Linked DNA regions of Sus scrofa. The protein of the gene in region 1 interacts with the protein of each later gene in a pairwise test. Links are inferred from orthologs where the notes say so. Each region holds a gene or a part of one and is shown on either strand. Other genes may lie near its edges. The genes, in order: HNRNPA1 and HNRNPH3.

Region 1 (4,159 bases):
GTGAATAAAATAGCCCCTACGCGCCATCACAGGCATTGAATCCCCTTCCTCGCATCCCCAAATCTAAGACCTCCCTCTTTTGGAGCGCTGATTGGACGAACAGCCTGAGCGCTTTCCAGAGGCTGCTCGCCTACTGGCTCCCGATTTGGTCCATCCACCTAACCGCCCAACTCCCGCATCCCCCATTGGAGTCAAATCGTGGCCTCTTGGAGGAGCCCAACCTACCGCGCGCTTCGTGCTCATTGGCTCAGTGAGATGCTGCTCAGGAGGAGAAAGCCCGCCTCCCACATACCGATGGCCCAAGGACCGATGAGTCGGCAGCTAAGGACAGCCCCAATTGGCCTATACACTCGCCAGTCAAACTCTTCCGCTGCAAAGCTCCACAGAACCTACGGGGATAAAACATCCCGCCCCCGTTCTTCCATTGGTTGGCCGATCTCACCGCTCCCCCTTCACGAGCCCCCACCCCGAGGTCCATTCATTTCACACAATAACGGGCCCAGTTGGAGTCAGTTCAAGACCTCGTATGGGTAGGCAAGATGGTCCGCCACTTACCGGGGGTCGAGACCGATCACTCACGCTAACGCCTCGCCTGTTCCTCTGTGGTGCGGCCGGACCACAAGCCACCGCCGCCGCCGCCTTCTGCGCAACGCCAACCGCCCGCCAAAACGGATCCTTCCCTGCGCCTGCGCGACCAATCCTGGGACCCGACCCTTTCCCCGCCCATTACGCCTGCGCAAAAGGGGGCACAACTCCCGCCACTACGCAGGCGCCTTAGGTTCGCCGCTGTCTCCTGCCCGCCATTTCACGTGTTGCAAGCTCCGGGCGGAACTTCTTAGCGCGCCTGCGTAAACTCGCCATTTTACTACACATGCGCTCAGCAGGCGATCTTGCCCCCGCCCCCGTTCCGCCAAATTGTCACATGCTAGCTACTTTTTTGATACATAGTATTAAAAATGCTTTGACACAGGCGTTGAATATTCCGGACATAGCTAATTAAAAAGTTATCTCAATACCCGAAATAATTCAAATATGAATCATTGGTTGACCAGCCAATCAGTCTAGTTAAGAATAATATTACTTAGGAACCAATGGACCGGGAGGGGTTGAGACTGCGTAGAACGCCCAAACGGATGACGTTACACAGCAACGCATACGAGAGACCAATAGTGGGGGAAAGCTATGTCAAATATCCAATCAGAGCTACTCAGGGGCGGAGTCTACCAATGCCGAACGCGAGGAGGCGGGATAAAAAAGCGAGGCCGAAGGTAGGCTGGCAGACTCGTTCGTTAGATTACTCCTTTCTGCCCCCGGACGCCGCCGAGTAAGCATCGTTGTAACCTCCTCCCCACTACCGTCATGTCTAAGTCAGAGGTGAGTGAGACTCTTTTTTCATCTGCGTTTTCTTCTTCGCCGCTTGCTGAGTTTGGTAGGGTGCAGTCTGGTTTGGCTGCTTGCACCAGCCTTTTCGGCAGTTCTTCGGTCGCTGCCGGGGCCTACCCCTCCCTGAGTTCAGGTCGCCATTTTGTCCTCGTCGCCATGAGGCTGTCGTCGTGCAATCCTTGGTTATCACGCTGCTCTCGTTCTTTTTTGCAATGCTCGTGGACACATTCGGTCTGTTTTTCATCCTTGTCCTAGTGGACGACTTTCTTAAAGAGTAGCTGTAGTCCAATTTTGGCGATGCACGCCCTCCCAGTCCTTTTGTTGCGCGTGCGTCGTAGGGAGAGTAAGGGGCGCATGCGCTCGCCGCTTCCCAGCCCCCAACATACCGCCTCCCCAGATGGGGAGAAGCACGTGGCTTACAGCGACCCGAGGGAACAATAAAAGCTTCGTACGTTGCTACCTGGTGTTGCTTCTTGTAGCGGGGAGCTTGTTTGCGTTATAGCCCTATTTAACGCTTTTTTTGCCCCTACTTCTAGTCTCCCAAAGAGCCCGAACAGCTGCGGAAGCTCTTCATCGGAGGTTTGAGCTTTGAAACAACCGATGAGAGTCTGAGGAGCCATTTTGAGCAATGGGGAACGCTCACAGACTGTGTGGTAAGACTTGGAAGAGACAAAAGGCCTTAGAGCTAGTTGTTTTTCTTGGCTTATCTCGCTGTCGTTGCTGTTTGAATGCTTATGAAGATTCCTATTGACTTTATAGCTTACTTGACAAAGGAAGGTGTGGCTTCATAGCTGAAAAGCTCCCAATTGTTAGGTTTAAGGGGTGGGGGCGGTGGTCATTGAAGAGCTTCGTTTAGAGGGTTGGTAGAAAGTTTTCCATTGCCTTAGTCAAGGTAGAAAAGGCTGTAACTTCTGGTGTCTTACCATGTGCTAAATAAACATTAAAGGTAATGAGGGACCCAAACACCAAGCGCTCCAGAGGTTTCGGGTTTGTCACGTATGCCACTGTGGAGGAGGTGGATGCAGCCATGAATGCAAGGCCGCACAAGGTGGATGGAAGAGTTGTGGAACCAAAGAGGGCCGTCTCAAGAGAAGTAAGTGATGTTTTTCTTGTGTTTCATCGACTGGAAATGTTCGATTAGCAGGATTCACTCACATTAAGGGGATGTAACAGACTTAGTATTAACATGGTCTTAGGATTGTTACTATTTTCTCCCCCTTTAGGATTCTCAAAGACCTGGTGCCCACTTAACTGTGAAAAAGATTTTTGTTGGTGGCATTAAAGAAGACACTGAAGAACATCACCTAAGAGATTATTTTGAACAGTATGGGAAAATCGAAGTGATTGAAATCATGACGGACAGGGGCAGTGGCAAAAAGAGAGGTTTTGCTTTTGTAACTTTTGATGACCATGACTCCGTAGACAAGATTGTCAGTAAGTAGCAGGTGGTTGGCATTCGCTAAGAGTTCTGAAATCCATTTGTGTCCTAAACTCTGAGATGGTGTCTTACTTTCAAATTTTTCAGTTCAGAAATACCACACTGTGAATGGCCACAACTGTGAAGTGAGGAAAGCCCTATCCAAGCAAGAGATGGCTAGTGCTTCATCCAGCCAAAGAGGTGAGTTTGTTGCTTAATTAAACCTTAAGCATCATTTTGAATGATTTTAACCGGTACAATTTAACGTTAACATTTTTTTCTTCAGGTCGAAGTGGTTCTGGAAACTTTGGTGGTGGTCGTGGAGGTGGTTTTGGTGGAAATGACAACTTTGGTCGTGGGGGAAACTTTAGTGGTCGAGGTATGTATGGTTTTTTATTATTTTAACGCTTCTTAGAATTTAGGCTTAGAAGGGTGTGATTTGTATGCGATCCACATACTTCAAACCTGGCTTTTAAATTCTGTTCCAGGTGGCTTTGGTGGCAGTCGTGGTGGTGGTGGATATGGTGGCAGTGGGGATGGCTATAATGGATTTGGTAATGACGGTAAGTTTTTTTGTTTTTACTGTTAAAATTTTGTGTGTGCGTGTGTGGGTTTTTTTAGTTCGTTTTGTTGTTGGATTTTTTTGTTTTTTAAGAAACTACAGGTAAAAAGTTTGACTACTTTTAGAATAGGCTAGTAGATACTAAAACTTTAGTGCATGATAAGTTCAAGTTTGACTCTTACAGCATGTTGTGAGCCGGCCTTTAGCCATCATGCTTGCACAGAATTTGAATGTTGAATACTTGTGTCTTATTGAGAAGAATTGTATTCTTGTAGGTGGTTATGGAGGAGGCGGCCCTGGTTACTCTGGAGGAAGCAGAGGCTATGGAAGTGGTGGACAGGGTTATGGAAACCAGGGCAGTGGCTATGGCGGGAGTGGCAGCTATGACAGCTATAACAACGGAGGAGGCGGAGGCGGCTTTGGCGGTGGTAGTGGTAGGTATCCAGTGATCCAAGTACTTGGTGCAAATAGCTAGCTTAGCCATATGGGAACTTGATGCTCTCTAGGCATAATGTGTTTTACTGCATGGTACTTTCTTTTAATGGGCTTGCAATGCTACCTCCTCCTAGCTTTAAGCTGGGGCCGCCTCACTCCCAAATAGATTAAGGGGGATAGTGGTGCCTACAGTTAATCGGGATTAGGTTAGCTTTTATTTAGGCACTTAGTTGATGTATCCAGCATGTGTTTGCGGTGCCCCTGGATGGGTAACAACAGCCTTCGAGGCTAGAGACTATACTACTTGCTCTACCATGGTGAGTCAGGGGTAAATTTCTAGCTACTGGATTATTCAACTGAAT
Region 2 (4,785 bases), on another chromosome or scaffold:
TATTATTATTTTGGGGGAAGGGGAGGCAGTAGGATGGACTGGGAGTTTAGACATAATAGATGCAAACGATTACATTTAGAATGGATAAGCAATGAGATCCCAATGAATAGCACAGGGAACTATATCCAATCTCTTGGGATAGAACATGATGGAATATAAGAAATGTATGCATATATTTATGACTGGGTCACTTTGCTGTACAGCAGAAATTGACACATTTAAATCAGCTATAATTTTCAAAAAGAAGAGAAAAAATTTTTTTTCAGGGTTATAAAGTGTCAGTGAATTGAGCACCTAACTTGAGCAAGCTCTCAATAATTGTGAGCTACTGTTATTACATCATCCTGTTTTATTTTTCTATTTCCTGTAATGAACACACTGTCCTTTCCCCCCCTTTCTCTGAGGGTTATCTTGAGGGCGTAGGCTCAAGAAAGGCAGTTAGGGCACTATGACCTAGTCCCACACTTGTCTTAAACAGGTTTGAGGATGAATGAAAGCCAAGAAATGCAAGTTTCCACAATAAGATAGTAATTGGACTCCTGTCTCCACCCTTCACACTGCAGACCTCAGGGAAGAAAAAATTATTCAAGCTTCTCCACTGCTAATCCTCTAGGTCTCCTTCACCCCACCTCGACGCCCTTTTCAGGGTCTACAGCCCAAAGTCTTTGCACTCTGAAGTTCTACAAGCTAGTTTTGTCAACATTCCCAACCTAGGGGTACTTGTGTACACTTAAACTCATTTCCTCCTCTCCTTTGCATTTGATGTGCGTTCCTATACGTCCGCACTTTAACTTGCGCTGATCTCAGTACTAGGACCGACCTCTAATCTTCTTACAGAAATTCAGCTCGCCTTTTTTTTTTTTTTTCCCCTTCAAGAGGAGTCCCTAGGAACCTTGGCGGTATGACAGCACAACCAAAAATTATTTACTAGGTGTCATTTGTACAAGCAATTTTCAAGGATGCAAAGTACTATTTAGAAAACAACTGGAAGTCTCCCGCCGCGAGCGGCTGATGCTCACTGAGATTACAAAGTGGGAGAGATAAAGGCGAGAGGTAACGCCAAGGCGAAAGGAGGAAGCGATTTGCAAGGCAACCCACCTCCCCACTCCACCCCCAAATAAGCCCCACTGTGGGGCGGGTTGGGCGGCTGGGCTGGCAGCGCCAAGGCCGGGGGAAGGAGCTCCAGCCTGAGAACCCAAATAGGGGCCTGGTGGACATTACTGTATCTTCCCAGCCGGAAAACACTACTATTTTTACTGCATAACGCAAACATGGTGGACAAGAAAAGCCCTCCCCGCATTTGGCTGCCGAACCACGTGGCTCCCTTTCCACGCAGGTGACGCGGGGTGAGGGCGGAGCCTTACAGAATTTGCTCTCGCTGGGAAAAAGCGGACTTCTCCAAAACTCGACTCCAGGATTCTTGCAACACAAACAGGAAGGAATACTTTCGCCACTTCACATCTCCCCGCGAAAGCAGAAAGGTGGCTTTGAGAATTTGAAGGTTTTAGGGTAAGCAAGAAAAGCGGAGTTACTGACCCTCCACCTTCCCCCGACCCCAACAACCAGGCCTTCCACCAACGCGCAAGCGCACTTCTTGCCTTCCGCGCCAAGGCGGGACCGACTCTCTTGCCTCGCGAGAGCGGGGCCGGTGGGTCTTCCTCGCTCTCGCTCCACCCCCTCCTTCTCTCTCGCGCTCTCCCATCCCCCCAAGCCAGTCGCTCTGCTGCGCAGCTCCCTCAGCGGTTGCCACCGCCGGAGACGGTTGGAAGAACCGTTGTGGGAGCGCTACACGAGGCAGGCGACTTCTCCTTCTCCACGACCGGGCCCCGCAAGCAGCGGAGTCGGCGCTACTGTCGCTCGACAGGGTATCTGAAGTAAAAGGGGGTAGGTTGGGATGGTGGTTTCGAGAGTGGAGTCGGGAGAAGGACGAAAGAGAAACTGGGAGGGGGTGGGGCGGGGCGAAGTGTGGAGGTCGCCGCTCGGAGGTGGCCAGGCTGCGCCCCCCCGGGCGATCTCTCACTTCGGGGGCGGCCTGCCGGGCGGGGGGGGGACTTACTCAGGGGGGATTTAGTGGACGAAGCCGAGGCCCGAAGTGGGGCTCATCACGCATTTCCCGTCTTTTCCCTGCTGGTTTGGCTTCCGCCATTTTGGGTACGGTGGCGCGGCCACCTGGGCTTCCCGCCCTTCTCCTCTCTTTCTGCTTCTTGCCCCTTAGCTTCCGAAAACTGATTTAGGAGTCCGGGGAGGGGGGCGGTGGTTAGAGCGCCTCGGAAGGGATGTGGGTGGGGAAGGAAGCGAGCTGGGAAAGGCTGGGCACTTGGGTGGGGGGAGGCTCAGGGCCTTCGGGCGCGCTCCGGTTGGAAATGGCGCCGGATGGGCCTGGCCTCCCACCGCGGCCTCCCTTCCTCCGCAGTCTCAGCTGGGCTACCTGGGCTGGCGGGACTGCGAGTGACTTCTGACGCAGATTCCCAAGATGAGAGAGGCTGGAGCTGGGGGAGGAAAGCCAATGGCGACGAAGGCGCTCAACTCCCAAACCCGGGACAAAGGAGGCAGACGGCCTCCTTTGTAATTCCGCCGCCGGGTGGCGAAGGTTTTTAAGCCAAGCTTTGCTGCCGAACGGGAAGGGGGGGAAGGGGCGTACTCTCCCTAGCTCTCTGGTCTCTAGGGCAGCTAGATAAAACGAAAAGCCTCCGGGGAGGAATAAAGGACGCTTAGCCGGCCCTTATATTCCAGGTTTGGAGCTTCGAAAAGAGTACGTACTCATTTTCCAAAGGGTTTTTTCCACTTAAACCGTATTGGGAGACTTTATGGGTAATTGTAAGCAGAAAAGCGGGTGACTTACCGAATAGGAATGTGCAGTGGGGCTTATTTCAAGCAGGTGAACCAAGATACGACTTTCTGAACCTTTGGGCGGGGGCGGGATGGTTTAGCAATGGTTTTGTGTAGTTTGGCGAATACTGTGTTAGAATTTAAGTAGGTGGTTTACTTTTGGGAAACAGTTGTTAAAAAACAACCAGTGATGGAAAAAATGTGTGTATAGGAATTGCGTTATCGGCTTTCACCAATCTCCAAGATTTTTATTTTGTGCAAAGATTGTTTTGGCATTAAGGCTGTGGAAATAAAATACTTCAAAATACAGTTAGGGTTTATTTTCTTTCGGTAGCTAAGCGAATTTTCTATTTGGCTTAGGACTATAGTAACATTTTGGCGAAGAAAATAACCCTACTCAACAGAAAAACAAACTGCAAGCCCAGTCATGTGGTGCTGTGATTTTTTTTTTTTTTTTTTCGGTCCTTAGAACATTGGAGAACTGGGTCTGTAATTTTCACTGAAAACTGTGCAAAGTAAAGGACAGGCAAGGCATGAGACTTCCAATAATGCATATGAATCTTTACAAGTGTGTTTATTTTTTCATCTTTAAAAATGAAAAAGATCTTCATGATGTTGAAGATGTTCTGTGTTTCTATGCACTTGTAAAGACATATAGCCCAGTTTCTTATAAAGTCTTGTGTGGTGTAACAGCTTCCCTGATTGGATTACCCTAGAAACCTTTTTTCCTGCCCTTCATCTGCATCATGATTTGGAAATGCATCTAAATTGCTTTTTATATTTTAAACAACTGTGTAGTTTTGGTATTCTTACTTTGTTAAACAAGTGATTGAACTGCAGTGGGTGGTAACTTTGTTCTAGAAAAGAAATCCGTTTAGACACCTCACCTCCAAGTAGTAGTGTGTGAGTCTATTTTTATTTAAAATTGAGCAAGCACAATGAAAAGGGAATGATTTCCATTTTATTTAAGCATTTCATCACCACTTCTGACCAAAATTTTGAAGTTACCTCTCATTTTTTAATTTTCTGGCCAAACCTGTGCCACAGCTGTGACACCACAGGATCCTTCTTAACCTGCTGACCAAGGAACTTTTTTAGAAGCATGGTTTAGGGTTGTTTATTAATGTATCAAACCCTTTATGTTATAAAGGAATTTTATCTCATTTGGCTTCTAAGATGTTTTTTCTTAACAGCTTTGAGATACAGTTCACAGATCGTTAACTTCATCCATTTAAAATCATACAGTAGTGGTCTTCTGTGACTGGTTTCTTTCACTTAGCCTAATGTTTAGGAAATTACATTAAAAATTTCATACAGAACTGACAAACTGTGTATTTCAGCTGCTGGTGTTTTGATTGATGCTAACACTAGAAATTTTTAAAGCAGAATTGCTGTGACACTTGTAAAGAAAGGTTGAGAAGGATTATCCTGAATAATTGGTAAACACTTTTTTTAGGTAGTTTCTGAGACAACTTTATTAAGGTATCAGAACAGATTGGTGTTTTTTTTTTTTTTTTTTTTTTATGCCTTCAGGTTTTGTCTTGGTTTGGTTTTGTAAATAGAATTCCAGGTTCTAATTTTGAGTTTTGAAGAGTTAGTAGAGTGTGGGTTACTTTGTTGTGTACTCATTCACATGGGATGGAGAGTCATTCTGAAGTAGTTTGTCTTCCAAATCTGCTTAACCTTTCCCCAAATTAAAATTGTGTTAACAGTTTGGTGTGTTCTTTATAGACTGTATTGTTTTTATGCACTTTGGAATAGGCTGATCCAAAAATCAAAGCTAGTATAGTTTGCTTGCTAGTATTTCTTGGAAAGTGCTAAGATTTATAACTATAAGTCAGTTTCCATCTTTTTTGAATTCCTGAAGTGGTACCTTTACATTGAAAAATAAATAAATAAATGTTCTAAGTAACATAAAGCCCCCACATCCTAAGGTCTTTTCACAGCAGATTATTT

What was found.
Region 2: the proteins of HNRNPA1 (region 1) and HNRNPH3 interact in binary tests that used the Homo sapiens proteins (3 or more experiments, as listed by UniProt). The link is inferred for Sus scrofa from reciprocal best matches to the Homo sapiens genes HNRNPA1 and HNRNPH3.

Annotation. Positions count from the first base shown.
Region 1 is NC_010447.5:19,483,818-19,487,976, forward strand, and holds the start of HNRNPA1 (heterogeneous nuclear ribonucleoprotein A1), read left to right. Parts: upstream 1-1,359; coding exon 1,360-1,374; intron 1,375-1,919; coding exon 1,920-2,036; intron 2,037-2,329; coding exon 2,330-2,476; intron 2,477-2,606; coding exon 2,607-2,817; intron 2,818-2,908; coding exon 2,909-3,001; intron 3,002-3,086; coding exon 3,087-3,179; intron 3,180-3,288; coding exon 3,289-3,363; intron 3,364-3,637; coding exon of another isoform or gene 3,638-3,796; intron 3,797-4,159. UniProt on the Homo sapiens protein: Involved in the packaging of pre-mRNA into hnRNP particles, transport of poly(A) mRNA from the nucleus to the cytoplasm and modulation of splice site selection.
Region 2 is NC_010456.5:71,484,570-71,489,354, forward strand, and holds the start of HNRNPH3 (heterogeneous nuclear ribonucleoprotein H3), read left to right. Parts: upstream 1-1,725; 5' UTR 1,726-1,884; exon of another isoform or gene 1,885-2,193; intron 2,194-2,428; exon of another isoform or gene 2,429-2,752; intron 2,753-2,842; exon of another isoform or gene 2,843-2,973; intron 2,974-4,785.